Diceros bicornis minor: one gene and its partners. The main gene of each other region encodes a partner of the protein of the gene in region 2 in a complex. Links are inferred from orthologs where the notes say so. Each region holds a gene or a part of one and is shown on either strand. Other genes may lie near its edges.

Region 1 (10,261 bases), on a different chromosome or scaffold from region 2:
GGGTAGGATCTCCGGGAAGGGAGGAGGTGGCAGAAGGAGCAGGGCAACAGGCCGGGATGGCTCCTCTCGAAAAGAGAAACCGACGTGGTGGGTGCTCGGGGCATATCCCAGGACACCCTCAGCACAGACCCTTGCTTTCTGGAAGCGCCGGTGGCGGGAGTTGGGACGGAAATTCAGGCATTTTACTCCGATCTTGAGCATGTCACTATCCCTCCCCGTCCCTTGCCAGGCTGCTGAATAACGAGGGATCTCTTCTGGCCTACTCCGGTTACGGGGATACGGACGCCCGGGTTACCGCAGCCATCGCCAGTAACATCTGGGCCGCCTATGACCGGAACGGGAACCAAGCGTTTAATGAAGACAATCTCAAATTCATTCTCATGGACTGCATGGTATGGAGAGAGGAGCTACTTCCTCTGTCCTCGAAGGGGATTCCCAGGGGGCGACCCGGACCCCATCCTGGATGGTTGGAGGGGCAGGGACAGGATCTCTGGAAGATTACTAAGAGTTGGTCTGCAGCAGCATTTATAATAGGCAGGACCCTATGCATCAAGTGGTGGTGAGGGAGGAGCCCTGGACCCGAGGTCTGACTGGGGTTCTGGTCTCAGCCAGCCACTAACATTTGTGGAACCTTGGGTAAGTCACTTAACCTCTCTGAGCTTCCTTAGCACACCTCTAAGGGGGAAACAATACACACAGGGTTGTTGTGAAGATCAAATGAAAGAGTGGATATAAACCGTAGGATGATGTACAGACACAAAGTGTTGTCATCCCAGATTCACAGACTCAGGGAAGAATGGCACAGTCTCCAGACACTAGTCCAGTCCCTTCAGTTTACAGAGAAAGCAGATGAAGTCCAGAAAGGGGAAGTGGCCATTAGGCTGTGAACTTCTTGGAAACAGAAACTGTCTCACTCACCTTTGTATCTGTTCAGTCAACAAATTTTTAGGTCCCTGCAATGTTCTCGGGACTTGGAGAAAAGTAGCAAACAGGACAGACAAAAACTATTTATAATGAAACTTAGTCTTAGACATGCTTTAAAATAAGTAAAATATGTATGTTTTGTAAAATAAGTGTGTAAATATGTTTTACAAAATAAGTAAAATATGTATATAAGTTAAAAAAGTAGTATGTTAGGTATTGAAAATGCTGTGGAGAAAAATAAAGCAAGGAAGTGAGATAGAGGCGGATGTGTGTCAGGGACAATCTCATTGCAAAGGTGACATTTCATCACAGATCTGAAGGAAGTTGGCAAGCCATGTGGCTGTCTGGAGGAAGAACGTTTCTGACAGAGAGAACAGCAGATGCAAAGGCCTTGAGGCAGAATGCTGCCTGGTCAAGGATCAACAAGGTTGATGTGGCTGGAGTGGCATCAGAGTGGCATGGGGAGGTTAGTAGGAGCAGAGTCCAGACAGGCAGAGAGTGTAGCACCTGGTTCCCAGCACTCGCTGGATACCTAGTGAAAATTTGCTGAACCAAATTAAAAAGGCCTCAACAGGGGCCGGCCCCGTGGCTTAGTGGTTAAGTGCGCGTGCTCCGCTGCTGGCGGCTGGGGTTCGGATCCGAGCGCGCACCGAGGCACTGCTTGTTAAGCCATGCTGTGGCGGTGTCCCATATAAAGTGGAGGAAGACAGGCACAGATGTTAGCCCAGGGCCAGTCTTCCTCAGCAAAAAGAGGAGGATTGACAGATGTTAGCTCAGGGCTGATCTTCCTCACACAAAAAAATAATAAATAAATAAATAAAAATAAAAAGGCCCCAAGAATGAACTCTCCAGAAAGGAATTCCACTGTAACTCAGCTGCCTACCTCATCCTTACCCCCTGTGCAACCAAGGATGTCATTTCAGTTCAACTGATGACTCCTCCTGGGTGCCTAGCTTAGAGCTGGTGCTTTAGGGCAATAGCTTTCAAACGCTTTGATCACAACTGGGCCAAAGGAAGTACATTTTAAGTCAGAGCCCAGTGCACATATATACCCACTAAAACAAAAGTTTTGCGAAAAAGGTCTCGGCTTACAACATGCAATGCACTTCATTTCTCTTCTTTTTTCTTTTAATGCTGATCACCTTCTTAATTGATCTCCTAACCCTGGGGTCAGACCTGCAGTTTGAAAAGCATTACCATGGGAAAAGAGGAGAAGCATAAGTTGGGTTACTGCTCTCAAGCCCCTTACATTGTTTTGGGGTGAACCCATAATAATAATCTCACCCATTTGGACAGCCCTTTGCAGATACAAGACTCCTTCATGTGTACTGGCGCCCTCACCAGCTGGGGTGAGGTTGGGGTTACAGAAAGAGAAACGGAGTCCCTGGGAGATTGAGTTTCCCAGCGTAACTTGGTTAGTAGGTGCCTGTGCTGAGGCTGGAATTGGGGTTCAGGACCCCATGTCCAGGGCTGTGGCCAAAGCCCCACTGCTGAAGCTCCTGCGTGTGCCCAGGGCATGGGAGGAAGATAGAGTCTCTCTCAAGAGGAGCCCTTGGGGAAAGAGGGGGCTAAGGTGCCAAGCCGAACATCACATCCCATGATATTGTCCCCACCAGGAGGGCCGTGTAGCCATTACCCGAGTGGCCAACCTTCTGCTGTGTATGTATGCCAAGGAGACTGTTGGCTTCGGAATGCTCAAGGCCAAGGTGTGTACATGCCCATCCCTCTGCAGTCCTGGGCCCAGCCTTTGTGCTCCATCACTGTCTGTTCCCATCCCCACCACCTTCCTGCAGGCCACCTGTCACCCAATCCATGTCTGGTGTGGGCTAACTCCCAGGAGCAAGCGGGGGCTGGGAGGGGGTGCTCAGCATTGGGTGTAGACCTGGATTTGGGATCCCTCTAGGGGCAGGCCATGTGTGGGACTGATTCTGCTCTCCCTTCTGCAGGCGCAGGCCTTGGTGCAGTACCTGGAGGATCCCCTCACCCAAGTAGCGGCATCATAGTGGGCGTTGGTGGAAGCTGGAGTCAGAAAAGAGAGATGACCACTGGGAGGGGCAGGGCCCCCTGGGGAAACCTTCCTGGACTGTGGAGGGAGGGTGGGACTTTGTTTTTTCCAAGAATAAACTTCAGCTCCTGTCTTGTGTCCTGGCTGCTTTCTTGAGTGGGAGCAATCAGAGGAGATAGAAAGGAGCAGGGATTTCTTATAGGATTCTTCATGTGCTGCAAGGATGGATTTCCACCCATTCCTTCACCAGGACCTCCAACAACCCAATGGTTTTGGGCAGTGATGCCTCACTCCCTTGGCCTCTCCCGTGGTGTGACCTCCCCTGGTCCCTGCCACTCAGAGCAGAATCTCACCCACCTGATGGCAAAACCTTGGGCGTGAGCTCAGAGGTGCAAGGGGCTGGTGGAAGGTCATGTTGAACAAAGAGAATATAGGGCCCTGGGAATTAAGTGTCCTTCATCCTGATTTTGAGGGGTGGGGGAGCTTTTCTACTCTTGGGGTTGGGAGAGTGTCCCCTAGCTGCCTACAAGGGGCCACTCCTTTCCTCTTCTGCCAGGCATTCACATGCTCACATAGACCTTCTCCAGATCTTGCAGCCCTTTGCAGACAGGATGGCTTTGTTGTGAGGCTTCAGGTCCTGGAGAGGGAGTAAAAGAAACCCAGAAGACCTCTCAGAGGGCTTCCCCTCCAGATTCTGCCCCTCCACTCAGACTCTTCACCCCATCTGGCTGTTTCTGCCCCAGGTCTCCCCATACCCAGTGTCCTTAAGAGCAGGTCTGGATGGGGAGCTACCCAGTGCTGTAGGAAGGGACCCATCCCAGAGAAGAGGTAGGTTGCAAATTCCAGCTCCACCCAGGGTGAGACATACTGCCCGTCCCAGGCCCTGGGCTGTCAGGGAGGGGTAGAAGTTGCTGTATGGGAGATGCAGCTCCCAGACCTCTGCACGGCAGGGTGACTGGCATCCCATCAGCCCCAGCCCCTTGCCCCAACAGCCCTTGCCATGGTGCCCCCAGATAACCCCTGCAAGGGCTCTGAAGGAAAAGCAGGCGGTCAAGTAGATTTTTGCTCCCTGAGAGGCTATTTCTCACTCGCTGGTGGCTGGGCCCCCTGGCCACAGGTCTCAGGAGCCTAGACATGCGTACTCAGTCCTCAGCTGGCTCTCTGAAGGCCCTGTCCTTGTCCCAGCTTCCCCCACTGTCACCCTCTGGAGCCTGCTCACCTGCTTGCAGGAGCCCAGGCTGAGAGCACACACCCAACCTGTCTAACCTGTCTGACGTCATCGTCTCTCCACCCACCTGGGCCCCAGGTCTCCAGTCGCCCTGCTCTTCCTGTTCTCAGCTTCCGTCCTCTCAGCTTCCTTGCAGCACCCCCACCTGCCAGAGCTGAGCCTCCCTAGGCTCTGCCTAGCCTCGAGTCGGCCCCCAATCCCTCTGGCTTGCAGAAGTTTCTTTACCTCCAATGAGAGGAGGGGCGGATCCAGGTCTCTTGAGAACTGAGGGTTGAGGGCGTTGAACTAACGCATAGACCCGTCATCTCTGCCCTTGAAGACACTTGTACCCTCCATGCGGAGCCAAGATGGGGAACGGAAACGAGGAAGATTATAACTTTGTCTTCAAGGGTGAGTTGGGGTCCATAAAGAGAGAGGAAGCCTGAGAGAGACCCAGAAAGAGACCAACAAACCAGAGACGGCCCCTTCCTGTTTTTTTATCTCTTAGCAGGACCCCCCAGGGCTCATCATTCCTTTGGATAAGAAAGAAAGCTGCAGGAGGTGAGGGAGGGTCTGATTACAGGGGCGAAAGTCCTGGAGCTGCTAGAATGCTCTACTGTTGTAAATAATGATGGTGATCACTCCTTAATAGTGTCGAGTTAGGCTCCTCTGCCCCATGCCTAAAGGAAGCCCAAATCCCTAGGAATAGTCAGCCACTGCAGCACAAGAGATGGAGATCAGACTTCAGAGAGGACTTCCCTCCTGAGAAAAGGGGAAACAAGCAGACTTAAAAGAAAGAAAGTCATCTTCCTGGGAAGATGTATAGGAAAGGAGAGATCTATTTCATCATAGGGCTGAGTGAAGACATAGGGAAGCTGTAACGATTTGGGAGCAGGGTCTAATAGGATCCAGAGGACTCCTAGGGCCATGGTCTTGTCTGCTGTCCCTTGGCAGACCCCTTGGGCCCAAATACCAGGCCCTGGGTTCCACTTGGCTGTCCCTGGAAGTGTGCGTGTTTCTTTCCTGCTCCTTTATCTCAGCCCCTGTGCTTGGCCTCTCTATTGTTCCCCACTCCCCATGCCACCCCCACCTCCACGCCTCCTTCTGGGCAGGGTGGATTGGCGGAGCTATGATTCCCTGTCCTGCCACCCCACCCCACGCCTCTCCCAGCCTCAGCCCCACCCTCTCTCTGGCTGGGACTCTCAGGCATCTGGGGTTGGGGAACCTGTAGTCCCGGCATCCTTCCCAGGAAGGGGAGGCCAGGGAAGGGCTAGCAATAGTCTGGGGCAGTACGACCACTAGTAACTACTGTTTATTGAGCCCTTAGCATGTGCCAGCCGCTAGCTCATTAATCACCATAACAACCCCCAAAAGTTATCTTCCATTTTGAAAGCATAATGGTCATTATAGCATCACGGTCAGGAGCCAGACTGAGTTCAGATCTCAGCTCTGCCGCTTACTCAGTACTGCAGGTTGGGGTCTCCAAAGCAGACACTGACAAGAAGTTTGGGGTATAAGATGTTTATTATGGATCAACACCAGTGAAAGGAAGGGGGAGGAAACAGGACTGGGCAGGAAGCAAACTGTAGCGCAGAATCACAAAGCCTCGGCCAAGGGCAGCGAGCTCTGTGATCCCCTTACCTTGCTCCGGCACTGGAGGTGGGGGGCTGCCCGGGAAAGGCATGACCTCAGGTACAGCTGCTCTCTGCACCAGGAGCACATGCTGAAGGAGCTGACAGCTGGAGGCTGTCTGCCAACTGCACTGTCTGCAGCTGGGGGCCAGTCCTTCCTTGAAGCCGGATCCAGGCAGCACACCTCTGCGTTTACCACGCTAGCTGGCTAGCTGTGTTACCTTGTGCAAGTCATTTAACCCCCTCCGTTCCCTTGTCTGTAAAAATGGGATGAAAATGATAACGGTACTTGCTTCATGCCATTGTTGTGAGGATTAAATGAATTAATATGGGTAAAGCCTTTAGGATGGTGCCTGGCACGTAGTTGGCACTCAATCAGTGTTAACAATTAGTATCTGCATTTTACAGACGAGGATGAGACAGAGTAAGTAGCTTACAAAAGGTCACAAAGTCAGTATTCAAACCCAAGTCTGTCTGACTCCAAAATCCTTGCCCTGAGAAGCTGTTGGGCCTGAGGGTAGGGCTAGGAGCCCACCCACCAGAGGGATGAGATGGGGATGAAGTTCCCAGTAGGGGAGAGGCAGGAGCACACACACACACACCCATAAGCCTCCCAGCTCTTTCCTGTCCTACACAAATAAGGAATTTTTAAAGTTGGAGGGGGCCTTTATAGATTTTATACACAAGGAAACTGAGACCCAGAAAAGGTGAGCCACTTGTTCAAGGTCACATGGCTAGTCAGAGGCTGAGTGGGGATCAGAACCCAGAATATGTGGCTCCCAGGGCACCAGCCTGCTTTTCCAGAACCACTCTGGGCGGCCTCCTCTAACCCTGGATGCTCAGCTCAGTGTCGGTGCAATTTATGGGTCATACTTAATCAGCCCCCTACACTCTCCCCCAGCCCCCAGCTCACCCACGGTAAGGCTGGGCCCTGGATGCTGCCCACCAGCCCAAAGGCTCTTCACGGCCCCTCTGATGGATCCTTGTCCCTGAAAACCTGAAAGTAAAAGCTCTGGCCTACCAACAGCAATCCCAGCAGTAACAGTTTTGCACACTCACTATATCCTGGGCAATATCTCATTTACTTTTTGCAACAACTCATAAGATAGTCACTATTGTTATTCCCATTTCTCATATGAAGAAGAAAGTCAGAGAAGTTAAATAACTTGCTAAAGGACACACGGCTGGTCCAACACCCAGCCCTATGGTCTTAATATGCAAGACTGCCCCTCCTTGGGGACAACTGGATCCTAACTTCTTACACACCGCCTGCATACCTTCCCCCCACCCACACACGTGTCACTTGCCAACTTTCTCCTCACTCACACTTCTATTCGCGCCTCTGCTCCCATGCAAACACACACACCAAACCCCCCACTTGTCCTCCCAGCTCATATACATAGAAACGTGCTCAATGTTCTCATACTCCCTAGTCCAGAAATGTGCACCCTCCCCCCCAGACCTCCTGCCATCTCTCTCCGCATTCACACACTCTGCTAACCTCTCCACACAACCCCTGAACACCAAGACCCACAAACAGCCCACAGACATCACTCCATCAGCAGAAACCCAGGCTAACTCTGCAGCCCGTCTCAACAGACCAGCCCAGAACCCTTAAAGCCCCTCAGCCCATTTCAAACTCACAGATGCATCACGCAGATTTGCAGACCCCAGTCTCTGCTCCCTCCTCAGTTTTCTGAGCTCAGCTCCCCTTTACTGGCGGGCAGACTCTCCAAGCTCAGGCGGCAGACTCTCCAAGCTCAGGCGAGCTTAGGGCCGCTCTGCTCCAAGCTCAGCCCTTATCTCTCCACTCCTTCAGTGGTGCTGATCGGCGAGTCAGGAGTGGGGAAGACCAATCTGCTATCCCGATTCACGCGCAATGAGTTCAGCCACGACAGCCGCACCACCATCGGGGTTGAGTTCTCCACCCGCACTGTCATGCTGGGCACCGCCGCTGTCAAGGCTCAGATCTGGGACACGGCTGGCCTGGAGCGATATCGAGCCATCACCTCGGCGTGAGCCCGGGGCTGGGGGACTGCTGGGGTGTGGGGGTGCTGGGGAAGTCAGGGAGCACCTCTGGAGGAGAGGTGGAGGAGGAGGAGGAGGAGGCAAGGGCACTCAGCAGTGTGCTCCGTGAGTGGCATCAGTGGGCGCCATGGCTGGTTGAGGAGACACAGTACTGTGAGCCACAAAGAGTCTGAGACAGGATGTAGCGATGCTGACTGCTGGGACTAAAAACAAGAGTCATTGCCACCACTTGAAAGTCTTTGCTCTGTGCCCAGGGAGGTACAAGGCACTTTACATGGGGCATTTTGTGTCATCCTCAAAGTACCATGGGAGTAAGATGCTCCCATCAATCCCTGTTTAAATACAAGAAGCTGGGTGGAGCTGGGATAAGGGCAGGCTCCCCAATTGAGAGTGCCCCTCACTTCTGCACAGTGCTTTGCCATCTAACCACAAAAGCAAAGGGCTGGACCCCTCAGCTGCACTTTACAAAGACTCAGAGGACACAGAGAAAATTACGCCACATGTGACACCATGTGCAGAGCGCCTCGGAAGCAGCATCAGGCCAAATGTGAGAAAGATGGTCTGTGTGTGTGTGGTGCGGGACAGTACCCTCCAGCGGGCAGGGAGCAAGAGTCAGGGGCTTCACTACCCAGCAGCACAACATACTCATCACTCTTGGACGGGTCACCTGACCTCTTATGAGCCTCAGTGGACTCATCAGTAAAATGGGAGTAATTAGATATCACCAAAGAAGCTCCATCTAACTCTAGGAGTGAGGCTGGGTTCTTGCAAGGATGCCTCAGATGGTCAAATCAGGGATCGCTGCATGGGGTAGCCATTTAGCTAGTTCTAGAAAGATGGCCACAAGAGAGAAGAGGGCACTGTGGGTCAAGGAGCCACGTGAGGAAGATCTTGAAGGTGGAGCTCCCAGGAAGCAGATTTGACCAGAGCTCAGGTATGCATTGGTGGATGGCAGGGGCAAAATCAGAACAAAGGAAGGAAGTAGATGGGCTATGAAGGAAGACGGGAGCCAAGATCAGAATCCCTGGAGGGTTCTCAGCATGGAGCACGGGATCCTTGGGCTGCCCTATCTGGGTTTGGATCCCTGGACCCAGTTTTCATATTTCCCAATCTCTGGTACTCATCTCTGGCTTTTTGGCTTGAGGCTCTGCTCTGAGGCTGGGCCTGTCCTCCCTGACTTTGCCTCTGTCCACCCCTCTACCCCCCACACAGGTACTATCGTGGTGCGGTGGGGGCCCTACTGGTGTTTGACCTAACCAAGCACCAGACCTATGCCGTGGTGGAGCGCTGGCTAAAGGAGCTCTACGACCATGCTGAGGCCACTATCGTCGTCATGCTGGTGGGTAACAAGAGTGACCTCAGCCAGGCCCGGGAGGTGCCCACTGAAGAGGCCCGCATGTTTGCCGGTGAGAGCCCATCGCGACCCAGTGTGACCCCTCCAACCCTACCCACGCAATCCCAGCTTCTGCCTCCCCAGCCCCTGCTCCCACCCTAGGGCCCCAACCTGGACTTCCTCCATAGGATCCCCTACCCCCATCCCTTCTTCCTCAGGATGTCCAGCCCTTCCCCTCTGTGACCTTGTGTCCCTCGTTATGTCCCACCACTTGCCCTGAGATTGTCTTTAGGGGCAATTATTTATAGTTGGTTTTAAGACAGCCCCACCCTGCAACGCTCAGAGATCCTAAGTGTAGCTGGTGGGCTCCCCTTGACCATCTCCAGTCACATTTTCCCTGGGAGTTTTCTGGGGTTTAGAGGCAGCAAGATGTAGTGGTTAAGGGTGCAGGCTCTGGGGTCCCACGGCCCAGCCTCACATCCCTTGGCCTGCTACTAGATGTGGGATGCTGAGCAAGTTCTTTAGTCACTCTCTCTGTGTTTCTGGGCTTCAGCTTCCTCTTCTACAAAAAACGGATAGTAGGGCCAGCCCTGGTGGCCAGTGGTTAAGTTCGGAAGCATTCCGCTACAGTGGCCTGGGTTCAGTTCCCAGGTGTGTACCTATACACTCATCTATCAGTGGCCATGCTGTGGCAGTGGCTCACATACAAAAAGAGGAAGATTGGCAGCGGATGTTAGCTCAGGGTGACTCTTCCTCAATAACAACAAAAAAGGGATAGTATTCAAACCTACCTCAAGGTTGTTTTAAGGAATAAATGAGCTACACATGCCCAGGGTTTAGCACATAGTAAATATTAAGTAAATATTATTATTATTATTGCCTTTAACACCCACAATTAATGATGTGTTTCCTTTTCTGCCAGAAAACAATGGGCTGCTATTCCTGGAGACCTCAGCCCTGGACTCCACCAATGTTGAGCTGGCCTTTGAGACTGTCCTCAAAGGTTAGAGTCCCTGCCTCCATTTGGCACCCCCATTCCATCCCTGGGTGGTGGTAGGAATGCAGACACCCAGCTCTCACCCCAGCTGATTCCTCAGCCCCTTTATGGGCCCCCAACAACCTCAGAGCCTCCC
Region 2 (10,098 bases):
AGGGAATGCTAAGGACTTAGGTAAGCTTTAAAGAATAAAGCAAGTCAGTGTTTAAATGCAAACTGTAAATACAGTATATTTTCCATCCTACCCCCTCCAAAAAAAAAAAAACTGCAAAGAACTTTAACAAATATACTAATTTAAAATTTGGACATGACAAATAACTTATAGCTGCTTTAACAGAAAGCGATATAATAGGGAAGTCTTAACGAGACCTTCAAGAATCATTCCAGAGATAGTACTTGTTTTCCCAGGCTTCGAAAAGATAAAATGAAGACATAGCATTTAGGGCTTAGTGGATTAATGCTGATTTTTTTCACTTCTTGAGTGCTGGATTTAAACTGTATATGGCCTCTGTTCAACTTTTCGTGGGCACAGGTCCATGTTCAAAACCACCACACATGTGGGAACTATTCCCAAGCAATTGGTGCTGTGTGGTCAGAAATGGGACAAGATTGGCAGCGAGGGTGCCAGAGGCCAGGACGCAGGTGTACTGCAGAGACGCACACAAAAGTCCTAAAACCTGCATGTGTGTGAGTCATACCTAACTCTAGGGACTCTGTTATTACTTTTCATGAGCATTAAAAAAAAAATCAACATCACCCACTTCTGTTGTAAAAAAAATCAATAGATATTACCTAACAGCATGAACGATTTTACCATTCTCTTATTAAACACTGTATTATTTCCTTAAATCTCCTGCCAGAACCAACCCAGACACCCATTCAAGAGAGATACAGAAGTTCTCTTTCTGGCCCCACTCAAAGCGTTCTGGCTCAGGCCCTTTTTCCTCTCTCCTTAAAAGGAAAAAAAAAAAAGGGAATTAATTTCAAGGTATAAAAATAAGTAAAATAATAGCTTTAGCCGTCACACGTCTTTGCCTATCATGACACAGCTGGAAGACAAGCCGTAAATACTTGTCTTCAGTGTCAAGAGTAAAAAGTGTCACTCCCAGCAGTTTCATGGGACTTCTCAATCAGCTGGTAGCCTTCATCACTCATACCAGTTTCTAAAAAGCACTTGGGAATATGCTGACAAGGTTCAGCTATGTGGAGAATATTAAATATCTTTCTTGCAATACACTGCCGGCTCAAGTCTGTCTCTTACTGTGCCACATGTACAGCTGTGCTGGAAAAGGAAGCTATTAAATATATTAAAAAACTAGGAATATTACCAATAAAGATATCTCATCAAATACGTGGTCCCCATTTATCCACAAAGAAAGAAAATGTTAGGGATTTAATAACATATGAAAACCACTTTGAATGCAATAAAAGCTCTGTTGATAACATTTAAAAGCATTTTCCCCCCAAAAGTTCTAACCAATTTTATATAGGAGCCCATAGAGAATTTCTGTAGGGAGACTACGATATTAGAGCATTGCTTACAGCCAAATTTATTGTAACTGTGATGCTACCAAAGATAAGGAGTAAAACAAGAAGAAACATTAAAAACTTATTTATTTCATCAGAATCTTTGGGTTCGCAGTTGGGCCTACTTTCACTTGGAAAATTTATATTTCAGAGAAGTCTTGTAATATATCATTCATTAACATGAAAAGTACTGTGAATGCAGTGTGAAATCTGAAGTTACAATATAAAGTTTACATTCAAAACACTTTATTATATAGGAAGTGTCATCTAACATTGGCAATTTGAAACAAATTATTTGGTAATTATCCATTTTTCATTTTAAAGTTGATGAAGAACTCCTCAGAGGAAACTGGATGCCACTTTGTAGGTACCAGTTTTATTAAAATCATCGATACATAGTCGACTTTACGTTTTTAAAAACTTTTCCTCTCCTTTTTTAAAAAATATTTTCATCTCCTCAATTACCTTAAATATTTATCATTTTTCCTCTTGCATTCCTGCTATTTCTTATTTTTCTACCCAACTATCATATATATATTAAGCCTTAGGTAAAGATCTGATTTAAAAAAATTTTTTAATAAAAACTCCAATCAAGAGAAGCTTGCTGGAAGCTATGTGGAGAAAAGAACAAGAGATGGTTGTTTTAAAATAAAAGACATTAAGATGAACTTCAAGAAAATTATCATTATGAACAAGTTTTTAAAAGGTTACATAAATTTTAGTTATGACTGAAATACCAAAGCTATTTTGGAAATTTCAAGTCCTCTTATAAATTCAACCCTATTTTTCTCTCTCATTAATTCCATCAATCTTAATGATCTCTCAGACTAGAAAAATTATAAGTTTAAGGAAGTTGCAAGTATACCCATCTCTGAAAACACACTATTTTTCAATTTAAGATATAATATTCTAGTGTTCATTTATATTATAGTTTTTTAAAATTAGCATATATCTATCTATCCTAAGCTTAAAGTCATATTTAAAAAGCCATGTTTTCATTGAAGATGTTATTAAATCATTTCATCACAAATTAACCATTGTCTCCAATCTGACAGCATTTAATATGGTCTAAACACACTAGACCTAATTCTGAAGTCACATAGTAGCTCCAATATATTGTAAATTCAAAGGAAAATGTTAGTGTGTTCAAGGCTAAGGATGTTTGTACATACTTTTAAAACTTACTTTCTTTTAACAGCTTTGGACTCCATCAAGATGTACTGCCCCTGAAAAATGGCTGAGCTAAAATAAAACCCAAGTATGTTTATAAGGATGAAATGGAACACAGAGTTCCAAATTTGGTAATTTATCTTTCGACAGCTTCAGAGTTCCACATATATATATGATGTTATATTGGCAGATTTAATTTTCTGATGTTCCATTTCCCGGAAAACTGTATGTTTAAAGATGATAATTTACATGTATGTTGTTTTCGTTGGTCAACACTGTGATCCAGTCCCCTTATAAGTAGTGAAACGATGTTAATTTACTTAAAATCCAGTGCAAAAAATTCAATTATTTAATATGTTTACTCAAACAAATAGAGTAATGGAGCATTAATGACTCCATTTATAAAATGTTTCTTCACAAGGGCTATTTTTACTTCAGATTCATGCAAATATGGTGCTTAAAACTGGGTCATATTTCAGTCCAAAAACCAACGCCCCAGGTATACAAATAATTTCCAAGAACAGAAAATCCATAAATAAGACAGAGTTAAGCTCCCCCAAAATTCAAAATAAATTACATAACTTACTCTGTTTTCCTTCTTTGTTTGTCCTCAAAGATGTCATTGAGATTGATTGCCACCTGCCCTAAAAACTTATCCAGACCCACCAGGGACCTGTGCATAACTATGAGGAAAAGAATGTATTTCTCTGGATTCCCCTGCATTAGCAAGCCAGGTAGCTCAAAAGAGGCCTCCTCCTTCCAGACCGGCTCAAGGGTTTTCTCAGCTACTGAGGTGGAGTACTTTTCCTTGCCCAGCTGAATTATAGTGTATGTGTCATTGGTGCCACTTTTGCCTTTTGGCTTAAGATCTTTGGCTTGGAGCACTGTGACCTGCACGTGGGTTGGAAACCACTTCTGGGCTTGCTCGGACAGCATCATGCTGTGCTGCTTCTCCGCAGCGAGTTCACAAGCGCAGGCAGTGCCCCTCCCGGTGGGGGGAGCCTAATTCCTTAAACCCTGCATCCTAAGGGCACTTAACAGAGACCGGCAAACTCACAGCTGCCCAACTTCCCGAGGGCCGATGTCAAATGGCCTCACCGGGGCAGCCCGGGGGCACGGCTGCTCTGGGGGTCCCCTTTCCTCTGGAGAAGCACAGGGGCCCAGCATCACCTGGCCGCGCCGTCCCGGCCTCCGCGCGGACGCCCGCGCCTCGCGTCTGCACCTTCAGGCTCCGCGGCCCCGGGGACGGGCCCTCGGCGGCGGCGGGCGGCTCCCGGGCCTGCGGGCAGGTGAGGCCTGGCCTCCAGGGCCGGGCGGAGGGCGGCGGAGGAGGGAGGGTGCCCCCGCCCTGCAGACTAGGGCCCGCCCGCCCAGATCCGCAGCCCCCGGCCTCGCGCCCGCCTCCTCGCGGCCGGGCCGCCCCCGCCGCGCCTCCCGCCCGCCCCGCGCGGGTCCGCGGGCCCGGCCCGGCTCCTCCTCCCGACCCCGGTAATACGAACCGCCGGCGGCTCGCGCGGCCTCGCTCCCTCTCGCAAACCTCTCCCTCCTCCTCCTCCCCTTCGCCTCGGCTCCTCCTCTCTGGCGGGGCGGGTCGCCTGGGCGTGGAGTGGGACGGGGGGCGGGGGACGCGGCCGCCCCGGCGCCGGCGGGCCGCGGGCCGGGCCGCGGACTGCAGGGCGGCGGGCACGGGCCCGGCCTCGCCGGGCCGGCGGTTCCTAGCACCGGGCGGGCGGCGGCAGCGGCACTTCCGGGTTGGCTTTCTCCATCTTGCTCTCGGGAACGCGACGGGGCGGGGCCCGCGGGGTCAGGGGTCAGCACCTCCCTGGTTGCCCTGGCGACCGAGGGCGCGCGGCGGGAGCTCCCCGCCCAGTGCTTGGTGCTCCTCGGGTGGCTTCGCGCCCGCTGCTCCGGCCTGGCGCAGCGCTGGGCTCTGGGGACGTGGAGGTCTGCACGGGCCGGCAGGGAGCTCTGGGGAGATCGGGGGACCGCTCCCGAGAGGAGGCAGTGAAGGCCCGGGGCCTGCCCCGTCTAGGGAGAGACCCAGTTTCAATCTTCGGAAGCTGTCTGCTGTACTCTGGATGCCCAGTGCCTGGCACGGAGCGGGCGTTGGACGAATGGCGGTGGAATGAATCAGTCCCCTTCGTTAACTGAAAACACACTTTCCCCAACCCCTTATCCACTCTTCTCTTTTTGAAAAGAGAGAAGGCTGTTAATAGGCTGGAAGGACATCCTCCACTCAAGCCAAGGGAGAGAGGGAAGCTGATAAAAGATTCCAAAACGAACACGGGGATTAATAAAGATCGCAGGTGGCACTGGACTGGAGTCTGAAGACCTGGTTCCGACCCCAGGTCTGCCACCATGTTTGTGTGACCTTGGTCAAGTCATTTCCCCTCCCTGAGCCTCAGATTCTTCACGGGTAAAACAGGTCTCGGTTGTGTCTAAGACCCCATCGTAGATTGATGGGCTCAGCGTCAAAAGGACCCCCCTGGGCACTCACAGTCTAGTAGACTATCCAGCTTCGGAAGCCAGCCCCAGAGATGACTCTGGTCATATTCTGTCAGCTAAGAAAAACAAACAGCCTCCTTCACCAAGGGCAACAGACGTTTGTCCTACCTGCGCCTGAGGTCAAGGTCTGATGGACGCCAGAGCTGTTGGAATGGGAGAGGCTTTGTTAACAGAAGAAAATGGGGATATGTTAATACTCTGCTTTTTCTGAAGATAGCTTGATTTTGTGGGAAAAATATGGGTAATGGCTGGTGAGTCAGGAACCTTGCTTGATGTCCTAGCTCTGCCAGAGAATCAGTACAAAGCTCCTGATGGGCACTTAGCTTCATGAGGCAAGAAACTTCCATTCTGGGAGCCTTGATTTCCTTGTCCATAAATTATAGATAAAATATCTGTTATGGAGTTGGGAGGAGTATTGTGAGGTAATACACGTACACTTCCTAACGTAGTATTGCACAAAATTCTAAGTCTCTCTCTGCCCCTCTATTTCTCATTCTCCTCTATTTATATACTCCTCTATTGTGTTTATTTCTGTTCATGTCTTATCTTCCCAAGGAAATTCTAAACTCTTTGGACTGCCTGTGTGTCATGAATCATCCCTTCACAGTGCCTAGCATGCAGTAGGCACTCAATTTACTGAATGACTTAATACCTTCTCTCCCTTTACAAGACTAATTTTGAGAATAAAACAATATGATAGATGTGCATACACTTTTCCAACATAAAATGGCCATAAAAGGGTAAGGTATTGTGTTTATTATTTTCAAGCAAAATTTAAAACTCTTTCATTTGAGGAAGACATTATGTTCTCCGTGTTTTCTCAGTGTGCCCATGTTCACAGGATACAAGCTGCAGCACTGAGAACTCTAAAAAACAAGGATCTTTTCCCATTACATTGAGAGCCCAATATATTTGAGTCAGAAGAACAACCATAGAGTTGAAAAACCTTAGTAGGAGGAAGAGAACATTATACATTATTTTAATCTTGTGGAAGGAAGATGCTTCCCTGACCCTAAAGGACAACACCACAAACCTTGAAGACCACCCAGATTCCAGCACATTTTTTCAGGGACCCACTGACACTTGGTAGTGTCCATAGATTTCCTTTCGTTTGTTAGACACTCTAGTTTTTTAGTGCTGCTTACACACAATGGCTGGTGTGAATTCTGCATGAAGTAGGCATTCCAAAAAGAGACATCGGATTAATTTACCACCAAGATCTTCAGGGAACCAAACTACAGACGAATCTTGAATAGTCTTGAGCTAGATACCATCTAAAATGAGAAGACCTGGTCTTAGGTCATTCTGATGAAAGTTTGCTGTAAAATGTAAAAGAAAGAGGCAGAATTTTCATCTCTGAGAGACAGTGTATGAAAAGCCATGTGTGTAAAACAGAACAAAATCATCATACTGTGAATATAGCACCTGGACCCCAGAGTGGGCAGTTGTCAACTGTAAAGAAAAATATTCTTAGGGATTTTTAAAGAGTACCTTGACATAGTCAGTGGTGGAATTTCACCAGGATCTACGGGGAGAAATAATTTAACACCTGAAACTTACAAAAAGAAAATAAGCATCATGAGAACAAATTTAATTAAGTTTAGAATTTTTATAAATTACATTTTTTAAAGTCTCTATTAAAGATTGTAATTAAATAAACAATAGGCAGTTAATTATAGTAGTGGATGTGTGTTTCTAAAGAGCTTAAATAGTTTGGTAAGCTTTATTAATGATTATAAACTTGTTTACAAATGTCATTTCACTCATCTCTGAAATATAGCCATCTCTAGGGTGGAAATTGGCAGCAATAGTTCACAGCAACGCAATAACATACTCCAACACAATTCAGGGAGTACTCTAAAGGCAAGAGCTGAAAGACTGAAATTACTAACATCTCTTCCTGTAGCACCTAAATTTCTTTTGAGTTTTCCCAGAACCTGGCTAGAGCCAAAATTGTTTAGTTTTACTATCTGGCAAGATCAGAAGTTATGACTTAGTGTTTGTAAGCCAGAGTAAGAAAATAGCATATTTTTGCCCTAAGGAAGAAAATAAACAAACAAATTTTAAAAATGAGCTAAATAGAATCTGGATTTGCATTGTAAAAGTGAAGTGATTACCTATAAGAAAGTGTTTTTCTCTTTTTTTATCTTTGTATCAAGAGAGTAAAAACATGTCAGTTGGGTCAAATAAGTGGTTGGCTCATGGTGAAAAATAATGGCATTTACATAAGATCTGGGATCAAAGTGGTTCTGCAAAAATGTTTATTGTCTTAAAGTTTTAAAAATTCTCTTTACTTATTTTAAGATATACATGGACAGTAATTTAAAAAGGGAAGAAGAATTGCATGCATAAGGACAACATACCAGAATCAGAGAGTCATTTTTTTTATTATCGCATGACTAATGATTTTTTCAGAAATGTTTGATATAATTCCAAAATCAAGGGCTTGGAAAAATAATACATCCTAGGGAGGAAAACACTGAAATCTCTAATTTTAAACTGTTACAAGCCTGCCGCAATGAATAATTTAACGATTTGACCAGAATGAACCATTTGGCCAAAAAGCAAACATAGTCAATATTTATTATGCAATAGTGGAAGATTTCGCAGATGAAAATATTTACTAAGTGCTGCATCTTTAAGTAAAGTCCCATAAGCAGACTTATTCAAGCATTGTGAAAGATTTTTTCCCTTTAGGCATCAGTATCTCTAAGATCACAACTTGCAAATCTATTGTAGGATGATTATAATGCTCTTAGTGTTTAAATGGCCTGCTGGGTCAAGAGTGTTAACGCTCTCATATAAATGTGTAACAGGTATTAATTAGTTATCTGATGGAGGTTCAGAGACCTGAGGGCAACAAGAAGCCTTCCCAAAATATCATTACAATCTTTGGACTTCAGATACACACACATACACACCCCCACACCCACACCCACACACACACATATACATATACTTGAAATATATAGACAGCTGAAATGTATATAAAATTTATACGTGTATACATGTGGCAAAACTCCAGAGTTATGTTGGAGATACTTACATAGGTTAATCTCCACATAATCAGTCAAAAAGTAAGAAAGTATTTGGCAAGTTGATTTGAAATTATAATAGCAATAAACTAGTGATTGGGGGTTTTTGACAATTGTTTTGTTTTCATCACTGAGCTGGTTCGTTTGTCTTCTGGGATGGGGCAGCGTGTGGACACGGTTGCGATGCGCGAAGCAGTGTGGTGTGTAGTGTAAGGAGCTCTAGTCAGCAGCCTAGGTCTTCATCCCAGGTCTGCCCATCACAGCTACGCATCTTTAGGGAAGTAGTTTTCCTTCTCTGGTCCTCTGTCTCCTCATCTGTAAAATAAGAGTCTATAATAGGAACGACTAAAGCATTCTCTAACATTTAATAATTCTAAGTAGTACATCCACTGTACAAAGAAGCAAATTGCAGTACAATTATCTCATTGAATTTGGTCAAGATACTAAAGCAGATTCCCTTTTTTTGTAATTTATTAATGCAGGATCCTCTAATTCAGGAGGAAAAAAAATCTTCAAGACATCCTGAGAGCTCTCTCTCCCAAATGAAAATGATTATCACAGAAAGGAAGTAAATATAACTTTGATTAATAGGCCCTGCATGAGGATAATGACACTAACAGCTCAATATTAGGAAGAAATTACATAGAAGTGCAAGTGGTTTTGAAAAGCCTTAAACTTTTCACTTGTAGTAATTAATACATATGACTTCTATTCATATTATTTGTAGCTCTTTCAGACCATGAAGACATGTTGAGGAGCATAAGAATTTATGGAGCAGAATACACATTTGCACGTAAGAATGTTTTGTGTAGCTGTCTTTTGATTTCCTCTTCATGGTTTCATGGTATTATGTTGTGCAATTTTTGTTCCCTACAAAATCAATGCATGTTGATGCATAGAATGTGAACTGATTTACTTTAACTGTTCTATGGTATTGGGTCAGATGAATAAGCCCCATTTGATCTTTTGTCCTTCCAAAGGACATTTAAATTGTTTCCAGTTTTTCACTATAATAAGCAATGCTGCAGAGATATCTATATATGTGTCCTATGCATGTTTGCAGGGAATTTTTTTTTTTTTTTTTGGTAATCATGTCTCTTTTTGACAACTGACAGTGAAATTATTGGGAGTTTGTGATGATAGTGTGAAAACCCATGGGCCTAAGCATCAGAAGACCTAAGTGATAATCCTGGCTCTGCAACTAAGGAGTTGTAGACCTGACAAGTCATAATATTTCTGTGCCTCTGAGGCCCCTTCCACCTCCAGAATTCTCAAAGTCCTTCAGATATATATACATATAATATTGTGTATAATATATAGTATATATTACATATGTAATAAACATAATATACAATATAATCATACATATAAATAATACATATATGTATATTATAATATATAATAATATATTAATTTATATAGATATATATACAATAAAATAAACTTAGACAATTACTGAAAAACACAGATTATTGTTCTTAGAGAAAAGTTTTGCGAATACTTAGGTATTTGTCTTCAAGTTTTAATTGTCTCATCATCATGAGTCTTTCTGAAACCTTCCAGAACATTGGAGAATAACAAGGACTGGAAATTTTTGATTTCTGCTGAAAGAAATGTTTATAAGGGTTACATAAACTTATCATCCTTGTACTTTATAAGTATCTGTTAGTATTTTTTCATATTCAGTTAAAATCCAAGATGGAAGATTTTTTTAACAAATAATAAGGGATTAGAATTATATTTCTGGAAGTAATATATATGTTCATTTGGAGAGCATTAAACTAGTGAGCAGCTGGCAAAAACATTTGGTAGTGGTATTTCTTCCCCCTGCATGAGATCTAGTGCTCTCTCTCTTTTTACTTACTTAATCTATGCTAAACAAAGTAAAAGACTTTAACAGTATTGGTTATATTTTATGTATTTGATACAAAGCCCAGTGGGGAAAAATGGCGTGTTGAGGGATAGATCCAACTCTTCTTGTTCCAGATTTTGTCAGATTTTAAACCATTTCTGCT
Region 3 (9,857 bases), on a different chromosome or scaffold from region 2:
CTTTTTGCTGGATATTTCCTTTTGGTTTTCCTACTAACTGTTTAAATTAGACATGCCTGAAACTCAAGTCAACATTTTTGCTCTTTTTTTGCTTTTTCTCCTCACCTCCATTTTTCTAGTGATCTTTCTTCCAAATAGATATTAAACCTCAGATCTCTCTGATTCCTTTTGTATCTTCATAGGCAGAATCTCATATTTTTGTACATTCTGTCCAAATTCTATATTTCATTTCTGAAAAAAGTATTTTTAATGATTAGTAATGAAACCCAAACAAAACCCCAATATGAATCTTTTGGAACTTAAGAAGTTTACTCTAAGGTTCATCTGAAATAGAGTCCCTAAAAATAGTCAAAGTTTAGAAAGAAAAAACAGTGAGAGGGAATTGCCGTATTTATTTTTATTTATCAAAGGCAAATGGTTCCTACTATGTGTCAGGCACTATTCTAAGCACTATACAAATATTTACTCATTTAGTACCACATATGAGACATCAAAATGGACTACAAAGCTATAATAAGCAAAACAGTGTGACACTGGCATAGGAATAAAAAACTTGACCAATGGGACTGTATCAGAGTCAAGTCCTCTGGAAACAGATACCAGATGAATTGGAAGTGTAAGAGATTCATTTAGCAGGAATGCCTGTGATGGACAAAAGGGAGAAGTAGGGCCTTCAGACCACAAAGCAGGTCTAATAGCTATGCAAGGAGAGAGGAAAGGAAGGATTGGGTAGGAAGAGCGTCAGACTGTAATTGCATTCTGAGGAAATTTCGGCCAGGCCAGTGGAGAGCTCAAGAGCAAAGACTGCCTATTAGAAGAGCCCCAATCTGTACAGAAGTGGTCCAGCTCTAGAACCCCCACTGCACTCAGTCGTTGTCTGGGAACATTCCGGAGGGAGCATGGCTTCAGTGTGAACATTGTAGTGGATCTTGGAGGTGTGGTAGCTGGACACTGTCAGCCAACCACACAATAGGCACAATAGGCTCTCTCTTCAAAGGACATCTGAGCAGTGTTCCTCTGTCGTTGCCAGAGGTATGGTGCAAAGATTCAAGAACAGACTCGTTTATATATGTGAGATTCATTTATAAAAATTTAGGCATTTCAAATCAGTGGGAAAAAGATGGACTATTCAAGTACATATTGAAACAATTGGTTATCCATTTGGAAAGAATTAATTTAGATCCCTATTTCACAGCATCCTCAATATAAATAAAATCCAGATGGAGAAAAAAATTATAAAAATATTTTTTAAAAAAACATTTTTTGAATCATCTTAGTGTGGAGAAGCCTTCTTACCCAAAATGCAACAGCCAGAAGCCATAGAAGAAATGACTGAGAGGGATTTGAGTAAATAAAAATTTAAAACTTCTGTATGGACAAAAGCATCATTAATAAAATTAAAAATCAAGTGATTTACTTAGAGAAAATATTTGTGCCATATATAACAGGCAAAAGATTAAAAGGTAGAATATATAGAGATCCTCCCCATTAATAGGAAAAGATAAACAACCCAACAAGAAAACGGACAAGGATGTTGACAGGCAATTCACAGAAGAAATATAAACAGCCAATAAACATAGGAGAAAATGTTTACACTCACTGGTTATCAGAGAAGTGGAAATTATTAGGCACACCAGACGGGCAAAAATTAAATATATTGCTAGTATATTTTTATACTAGTATATAAAATATTGCAGAGTAGCTGGGAAAATGAATATTCAGCTTGTCCAGCCTCTAATGGGGAAATGGGCAAGGAAGAAACAGCTTAGGAATAGGTTTTAATTTAGCAACCCTCAGTATCTGCCAGGTCCATGGGTAAGGGAATGGGAATGCTTGTACAAACTATGGTACATCATTGTTAAGGAAAACTATGCAACAAATGAGTTAAACCTGTATGGACTGATGTGGAAAGATTTTTCAAGGTGAGAAATGGTACATATAACGTGATTTTATTAAAAGAAAACGGAGCAGTTATCTCTGGGGTTGGAGGAGGAATTGAAGTGGAGACTTTAAGGATTTACTCTATATTTCTGCATTAAAGTAATTTACATTAAGTACCTATATTTCTTGAGAGATTAAAAAGAGATATATCAAGGAATTACTACTCATTTTCCCCAAAGAATGTAAAACCCTAATTCTCTTCTTTGTCCGTGGAATCCATTTACCATTTTTTCCACAATAGCCTTTGCTTTTTCTTTCTTCTTTAGTCCCTTAGCTATACCCCATTTCTATTAGTTTGTGCCCGGTTAATTGCAATAGCCTTCTAACTGATATCCACACCTCCAGTCTCTTCACCCGAGTCCTGCAGTCCACAGCCAGCTTAATTTTCCTAAGACAAGGTTTACTTCAATCACTTCTCCACAGATCTTTTATGGCTTCCCCAAAGTGTTTAGAGGGGTGCTAACAGGTGTTCCTTGGGAAAAGAGTTCTGGGGTCTGGTGAATCTGGGAAATGCTGTGTTCTACACAGTTAAAAAAAGATTTCTTCAGAGTGGAATATCTAGACTTTAAAATGCCAGTGTGCTAAGGGAACCTCTAAGGTGGGGAGACAGTGTGTAGTTCTTCTCAATTTATTTGACCATGCAATCCTTTGGAGGAACACTACTGACCTTCTCAGGACACACGTTGAGAAACAATGACTTAAGGGGAAAAGTTATAATTATTCTTCCGGCATTAATGGCCTTGCTCAACATGTTCTTATCATCTAATTTCCTCCACTTCCGAAAATGAGTTTCCTTCCTTGCTTCTTCCTTCAGGGGTCAATGCTAGTTCCTCCTCCGGGGAGTTCTTCATAACTATCTCAGTCTCTGAACTGTGGCACTTATCACCAGAACTCTCATTAGTTACTCCTTCAGAACTGTCTAGTTATTGACAGTCCCCTTTTCTTGGGCCCATCTTGTCTACCCACCTGAGCAGTGCCAGGACTGTGTTTTATACATAATCTGTAGTACACATAATATTTAGCTGCGTGAGTAATATTGTGCATCTCCCCCAACGTGGATAATGCTCACCCCTGCACAAGGCAGTATTTAGACCTTAGATAAACCTTCTATTGCTTTATACTGTGAGAAAAAGCCCTGAAAATGGCACTGTATTAGTTTTCTATTGCTGCTGTAACAAATAACTATAAACTTGGTGACTTAAAACAACAAAATTTATTATTTTATAGTTCAGTAGGTCATAAGTCTGACATGGGTTTCACTGGGCTAAAATCAAGGTGTCAGCAGAGCTCTCTTTCTTCTGGGGGCCTTAGGGAAGAATCCATTTCCTTGCCTTTTTGTTTTTTTGTGAGGAAGATCAGCCCTGAGCTAACATCCACGCCAATCCTCCTCTTTTTGCTGAGGAATACTGGCCCTGAGCTAACATCTATTGCCAATCCTCCTCTTTTTTTTCCCCCTTTTCTCCCCAAAGCCCCAGTAGATAGTTGTACGTCATAGTTGCACATCCCTCTAGTTGCTGTATGTGGGACACCGCCTCAGCATGGCCCGACAAGCAGTGCGTCGGTGTGCCCAGGGGCCGCCAGTAGCAGAGCACACGCACTTAACCGTTAAGCCACGGGGCCGGCCCCTACTTGCCTTTTCCATCTTCTAGAAGCCTCTGCATGCCTAGGCTCCTGGCCTCCTTCCTCCATCTTCAAAGCCACAAGGGCTGATTGAAGCCCTCTCACACCACTTGACTCTGACCTCCTCTGCCTCCCTTTCCCACTTTTAAGGACCCTTGTGACAACATTAGGCCCACCTGGAGAATCCAGGATAATCTCCCTATTTTAAAGTCAGTTGATTTGCAACCTTAATTCCATCTGCAAACTTAATTCCCCTTCGCCATGTAACCTAACACATTCACAGTTCCTAGGGATTTGGAAGTGGACATCTTTGAGGAGCCATTATTCTGATTACTACAGGCACCCTTACCCAAAAGCCTGAATTGTGGGTTTGCATATTGGTGGTAGGGGGTGTGACAATAAATGGGAAAAGCTTTTTGGAATGACAAAACTCTCTTCAAAGACAGGGATGCCCTGCTGCGTGATCTCTGGCAAATCACTTGAGTCTCAGTATCTACATTTTTGCTAAAATGGAAATTGCCATCCTTTGCTCTGCGTGTTAAATGAAATAATTATGTAAACGCGTTTGGCTTAGAGGATGACAAATAGGGCTCAAGAAGTTCTTGAATCTTGATGAGGAGGAGGGTGGGCGAAGTTCTCTAAATGACATCTGGAAATAGTTTGAGAGATTTCCGGAGAAAAGGAGTGAGTGAAAAGCGCCTGCCCTGGAGTAAAGTCGGAGGTTGAAAATTCTAGCAAAATAAATCCAGTTTCATGAAGCTTTTGAATTAAGTTTGAGGCAGAGGGCCCAGGTTAAAAAAACGGCAAAGTGAAGAGGCTCCTTAGGAGCCATCAGGTGACATAGTACAGAATCGAAGGGGGTAATCTGTCAGCTCTTCGCAGGCAAAAATTATATTTGTGAAATTCCCTCCCTATTTAGTTCAAGGCCATCTATACTGTAGCTGTACAACAATCACTAAGTGAACAAATGAATTTATAGTGTGGTCAGGAAAAAAAGCGAACAGCGCAGGTTCCACCGAGATTTGAACTCGGATCGCTGGATTCAGAGTCCAGAGTGCTAACCATTACACCATGGAACCGCTACGCAAAGACACCCGCCTTCGGCTCCCTAATCCTTTATGAACCCCGCCCCCATCCACAAACCCACCACACCGCGGTAGAGCCGAAGCGCTCCCCAGCGCCCCGCTTCCCGGCGTGGCGGAGCGGGGAATGAGGAAGAGGCCGCTAAGAGTGCGGTCAGCTAGGAGTCCAGGGTTTAGTTTCCCCCATGAGCCTCCTTGAGGGGGTGAGAATTTGAAGATCGACGCGATGCTTCCGCCCACCGCCCTTCCTGGGCTCAGGGGCGGGGCGCCACCTCCCCGGAAGTACTTCTCCTAAGGGGTTGGGGCCTGCCGGAAGTGGCGTAGCGGCAGGGAGGGGTTCTTTACCCGGTCCGGCAGCTGAAGCTCGGCGCTCGGGTGGCCCCTGCAGCGACGCCCCCTGGTCCCACCGATACCACTGCTGCTCCCACCCCTTCCCTCTTCGGCCGCGCCATGGGCACCCGCGACGACGAGTACGACTACCTCTTCAAAGGTGAGGCCACAGGCTCGCCCACTCTCCACCCAGTCCCCTTTCGGGGGCCCGGGACACTCCCGGGGGACCCGCGTGCGGGCCACCCCTGCTCTGAAATCGGCCTTCCTCAGTCCTTCCTCTCCCTGCGGTTTGTCCTTAGGTCTCTCGGCTCAGCCCCCTTTCCTCCTCTCGGACAGGGGTCCTCACCACACACCGGTCTCTTCGCGACTTCCCCGCAGGCCTTCTGTAGCCTCAGGGCCCCTCACCGAGTGTCCTTCTGCCAAATCGTCTTCTTCCTTTCCCGGTTTCTGTCGTCCCTTTGGAGGGGCCGCCCCTCCCACCGTCTGTCTTTTCGGGTCTGCTGCCCCTCCCCCTCGGTATACACCCTTCCTAGCTGCTCCCCTCCCCGAGCCCCTCTGACAGGCCCTTCCCTCCGCTCCCCAGCTTTCCCTCGGCGCAGACTCCCACTTCAGGTCTTTTTCTTATCCGCCGCCCTTTCCCCTCGAGCGAGCCTCTGCTCTGCCTGTCTTCACAGCCCCTCTTCTCCGACGGACGCGCCTGCTAGCCGTAGTCTTCCGTCGCGGGGCCGGGCCCGGGTTAAAATCTGAGCGGGCCAGAGGCCCCCACCCGCCCCACCGTACTCGCGGTCAGTAACCTTCTCGCACTGCCCCCGGGGTTGGTAGCTCTTTCCCCTCTACCTTCCCTCCCCACATGGTTTAGAGCTCCGCACGTCTCCTGTGCGACCCCGAGGGTGGGGGGTAGGGTTGGAGGGATTGGCCATCACCCACCCGCGCACTTGTCGCAGTGACCCGGCCTACTGATGTGACTTCCCACCTAGTCTTTTTTCTCCCACCCTCCCCACCCAGCGGTAGCCAGCCCGGGATAACTCTTGACTCTGCTCGCGAGAAGGGGTTGCGGATGGGTGGTGGCTGTTATCCTTGCCAGACCTGAAGGCCCAGTTCCTGAGCAGGAAAGGTTGTGCGCTGCACAAATACTAGCCTGCTTTATCACTATGGACTGGTTGCTTCCTGCTGCAACACTGGGAGGATCCAACCTTTTGGTGTTTTTAGAACGGGAAAGGAAGAGTCCTAGTTAGCCTTATGCCTTTCCCAAAAGGTGGGGGTCAGGGGGGAAGTTTTATGCTCTTTGGTCAAATTAAATATTTATTATAAAGTAGGGAAACATGTAGTGCCCTTGGACAAAACATATTGGAGGATGGGGGGTGAATAGAAAGAATTGCTTGTAGGTTAGGTCCGGAAAGAATCCAAATAGTTTTTTTTTTTTTAATCAACAAAGATAAAGAGTACAGTAAATGCTTTTTTTGTTCTGTGAATGCGCTCTCACTCTGATGCTCTTTCTCTATTCCTGAATTAGGAGGGCAGCCATCAGTAGTATGCTGAACAAAGATCATTACCAGGGAGGAAGAAGCCATTGCTATTGAAGCTTTACATTGGAGGGTGGAGTTTAAAAAGAGTGTTAAGCATGGTGATTGTTTCTGACTTTGCCATTGGGTCATAAGAATGATTGACTAAACAAAGCAGGACACATATCTTTGCTTTACCAGTACTTTGCAAATCTTAGCTGAAGATATACCCTTATCACCACTTACTGCTCTGGGCTAGAATATTCTCTTATACAAGGTGAGTATCTTCAATATCCACCCCCACCTCCCATAGTGAAAAGTTCTTTACAGAGGAGGGGGTACTTAATGCATTTTACAGATACAAAAAGGAAACATGGCTTACTTTGCATACTGTTTGCTGAAGGCCTCTGAGGTCAGGTGAAATTACTTAGTGAGACCCTGGAGACTAGGGTTTAGTCATTAAAGGGAGATTTTTTTTTTTTTTTAAATAAGGTACGGTGGCAAGTGACAGCTAGCTATCTTTGAAGTAATTTAGAACACGATAGACTATCAGAGTATTTCTCCTGTTTGGTTTGGAACTTGAATGTTGGTTATAGAAGCCATTTATTTTTTTCACTAAGATTATTAATTGTCCTGGATTGATTTAAGGAATTTTAATTTATCTTTGGGATTAGACCATCCTAACTAATTGAGAGTACAGGGCTTTGGAATCACAGAGGCCTGGATTCAAATCCTGACTCAGGTCTTAAATTTGCTTTGTAACCTTGGGAAAGTTAACTTTTTAAACTTCAGTTCCCTATCTATAAAAAGGAAATAATACCTACCTCTCCAGACTGTTGTGAGGGGTAAATGAGACTGGCTGTAAAATTTTAGCTTCTGTGAGGACTCAATAAATGGTAATAATATGAAAGAGATTATTCTGGTTCTTGTCAGTTTTTTTTACCTTAAATCTTGATAAATGTAAGAACATTTAAGTGTTAGTAAAGAAACTTAGAACTAGGAACTTCTGAAGTATTTTATATTTCCATGAGTTATGGTTTCATCTTGTTGTACATTTTGCAGTTTAAGATAGGGTGTTTAAAAAATTCTGCTGAGGAGGATTTCCACTTTTTTAAAGCTCTTACAGGATATGAGTCACTTTGTTTTTTACTCAGTGCTGATTATTTAGCCAATTTCTTATTTATACAGTTCTCATAATTTAAAGCGAAGCAACAATAATTTCATTTTCAAATGGTTTCATTCTACAGAGATTTATTCACCAAGATGAGCTGGAGCTCTCTTGGAAGAAGGCTTACCTAGCAAACTTAATAGTTGAGGGAATTGGAAGTTAGTTTGTAACTCTAACTAGTTGCAAATGAAAAGATATTTTGATTAGTATAGGATGGAGTAGTCCAAGCAGGAATGTAATGTGGGGAGAGCAGGACAATTATTCTAAATTATGTTTTTGTTCTTGAACATTAATCTTTAGTTAAGCTCAACAGTGAGTAACTTCTGGTCGGGAGGAGTTAATTTTATTTTTTAAAACCTGACTTTTTATTTTAAAAACTTTAATTCTCGGGGCCGGCCCGGTGGCGCAAGCGGTTAAGTGCGCGCGCTCCGCTGCGGCGGCCCGGGGTTCGCTGGTTCGGATCCCGGGCGCGCACCGAAGTACTGCTTGGTAAGCCATGCTGTGGTGGCGTCCCATATAAAGTGGAGGAAGATAGGCACCGATGTTAGCCCAGGGCCGTCTTCCTCAGCAAAAAAAGAGGAGGATTGGCGGATGTTAGCTCAGGGCTGATCTCCTCACAAAAAAAAAAAAAAAAAAAACTTTAATTCTACAGGTATTTACGCACAATGTGGTTAAGGCCCTGTGGGACACATAAGTGAAGTAAGCACCAATTATAGTTCGTATTTACAGATATTGTGGTAGACACCAATCAGACACCAATCAGAATCACATTTTCTGAAAATATCTGGATACATAATCTACACCATTTTCTTTTCAGTCTCCTTGAAGGTCAGTAGTAATTAACCATCAGCTGATTGTCAGTGGAAACAATGGTAGGAACTTTGCTGTATTGCATCTTGGTAGTTTTTCTTTCACAACTTTTGGTTGAGCAACTTACATTCTGCTGAATCTGGAAAAACTTGACTTCAGCCGTATTGAATGCATTTTATTTTAAAGACTCTTGGTGGTGGTGTACAATGCCTATAGTTAGGAGTAGAAACATCTCCAAGTTTATTTATAAAAACGGGTATGTAAATTATCAGTTATTCCTTCAGGTGATAACTTTTAGGTCTGATGTACTATGATTGATTTGTTGAATTAAATTTTAGTCCATGCATTAGTTTGCAAGAGAGTGTAAAAAACTAAATGTGGTTGAAGAGGTGGAAATTTTTATTAAATAATGCTTAATTAATATGTATATTCTGTTTTTACGGCATTTAGTAGCCTAATATTTGATATATAATGAACCAAATTTAGTATTAGGTATTAGAGATGATAACGTAAGATTCAGCAGATGAAGTTTACCAAGTGGTAATAAATATCAGATTACTTTAGAAAGGCAGTAGATGTTTCATATATAGATGCTGTTATTTAATTTATACCCACACACACATATATATAATATAGATGGCTGTAGTTATAAAATGTTTAAAATAGAAGATAGTAGTTATGGAAAACATGGAAAAGTCACTGCAAATTCCTTTCTTGAACTGTAGGATGTGATTATATAGTTTGTCACATTTTTAAAAAGCAATTAAATATTGTTATTTTAGTGAGAGAAGCTATTTTGATTGGAAATTAAGTTTGAGTCCATGAACTTTTGGTTTTTTGGTTTGTTTTTTAAATCATAGCCAATAAATTCTCTTGCTTAGGTAGTTTAATCCATTCTAGTTTAGTTTTTTAGTGATCCTAAATGTCACCCTTCTTGGTTTGGTTTCTCATTCAGTAACTGAATAGAAGCAGCTTTCCTTATTGTGTCATTTCTCAGCATCATCTTGGCAACACTGTTCTTAAAGAACTGATATCTTCTGTTGTCATTTAAGATATAATTCTTTAACAAGTTGCTAGTCTTAATTCTGGCAACGTTGTCCATGTGTAGTTGAGATAACTATTTTATATTGTATATAGCATTCATGAGTCTTGAACTGTTTTCAGATAAGGGTGCTATTTTTTATAATAAAATTAATTGGTTACATTGAGGAAAAAAATGCGCTCACTAACTATCTTTATGACGACGTAAAGATTTGAGGATGGGGAGATAGTGAACATAGTTGTTAGTAAAAGTGGAGGTCAAAAAGGAAGAAACCAAAACGTGAAAGTGCTGGAGTTTTTGTGGGAGGGAGAAAGTGTTCTTTGAGTTATTTATTTATTTAATTCTCCAAAGGCATCATCATT

What was found.
Region 1: the proteins of RAB11FIP2 (region 2) and RAB25 are in contact, whole or in part, in a crystal structure (PDB 3TSO), measured with the Homo sapiens proteins. The link is inferred for Diceros bicornis minor from reciprocal best matches to the Homo sapiens genes RAB11FIP2 and RAB25. Residues at the interface, in NP_055719.1 of Homo sapiens: Arg475, Glu478, Ile481, Asp482, Asn483, Leu485, Val486, Met489, Pro493, Ser494, Leu496, Arg497, Val498, Pro499; in NP_065120.2 of Homo sapiens: Arg34, Ile45, Gly46, Val47, Glu48, Phe49, Ser50, Thr51, Lys62, Trp66, Arg73, Arg75, Ala76, Ile77, Ala80, Tyr81.
Region 3: the proteins of RAB11FIP2 (region 2) and RAB11A are in contact, whole or in part, in a crystal structure (PDB 2GZD), measured with the Homo sapiens proteins. The link is inferred for Diceros bicornis minor from reciprocal best matches to the Homo sapiens genes RAB11FIP2 and RAB11A. Residues at the interface, in NP_055719.1 of Homo sapiens: Glu478, Ile481, Asp482, Asn483, Leu485, Val486, Met489, Glu490, Pro493, Ser494, Leu496, Arg497, Val498; in NP_004654.1 of Homo sapiens: Arg33, Ile44, Gly45, Val46, Glu47, Phe48, Ala49, Thr50, Lys61, Trp65, Arg72, Arg74, Ala75, Ile76, Ala79, Tyr80, Arg82.

What each region holds. Positions count from the first base shown.
Region 1 is NC_080743.1:59,707,019-59,717,279, forward strand, and holds the start of RAB25 (ras-related protein Rab-25), read left to right. Parts: upstream 1-4,262; 5' UTR 4,263-4,504; coding exon 4,505-4,547; intron 4,548-7,586; coding exon 7,587-7,782; intron 7,783-9,007; coding exon 9,008-9,201; intron 9,202-10,050; coding exon 10,051-10,131; intron 10,132-10,261. Other genes in the region: ragulator complex protein LAMTOR2, read left to right, coding at 230-392, 2,541-2,630, 2,871-2,927. UniProt on the Homo sapiens protein: The small GTPases Rab are key regulators of intracellular membrane trafficking, from the formation of transport vesicles to their fusion with membranes.
Region 2 is NC_080745.1:81,038,006-81,048,103, forward strand, and holds the start of RAB11FIP2 (rab11 family-interacting protein 2), read right to left. Parts: upstream 3,879-10,098; 5' UTR 3,483-3,878; coding exon 3,130-3,482; intron 1-3,129. UniProt on the Homo sapiens protein: A Rab11 effector binding preferentially phosphatidylinositol 3,4,5-trisphosphate (PtdInsP3) and phosphatidic acid (PA) and acting in the regulation of the transport of vesicles from the endosomal recycling compartment (ERC) to the plasma membrane.
Region 3 is NC_080744.1:60,102,388-60,112,244, forward strand, and holds the start of RAB11A (ras-related protein Rab-11A), read left to right. Parts: upstream 1-4,971; 5' UTR 4,972-5,093; coding exon 5,094-5,133; intron 5,134-5,647; coding exon 5,648-5,758; intron 5,759-9,857. UniProt on the Homo sapiens protein: The small GTPases Rab are key regulators of intracellular membrane trafficking, from the formation of transport vesicles to their fusion with membranes.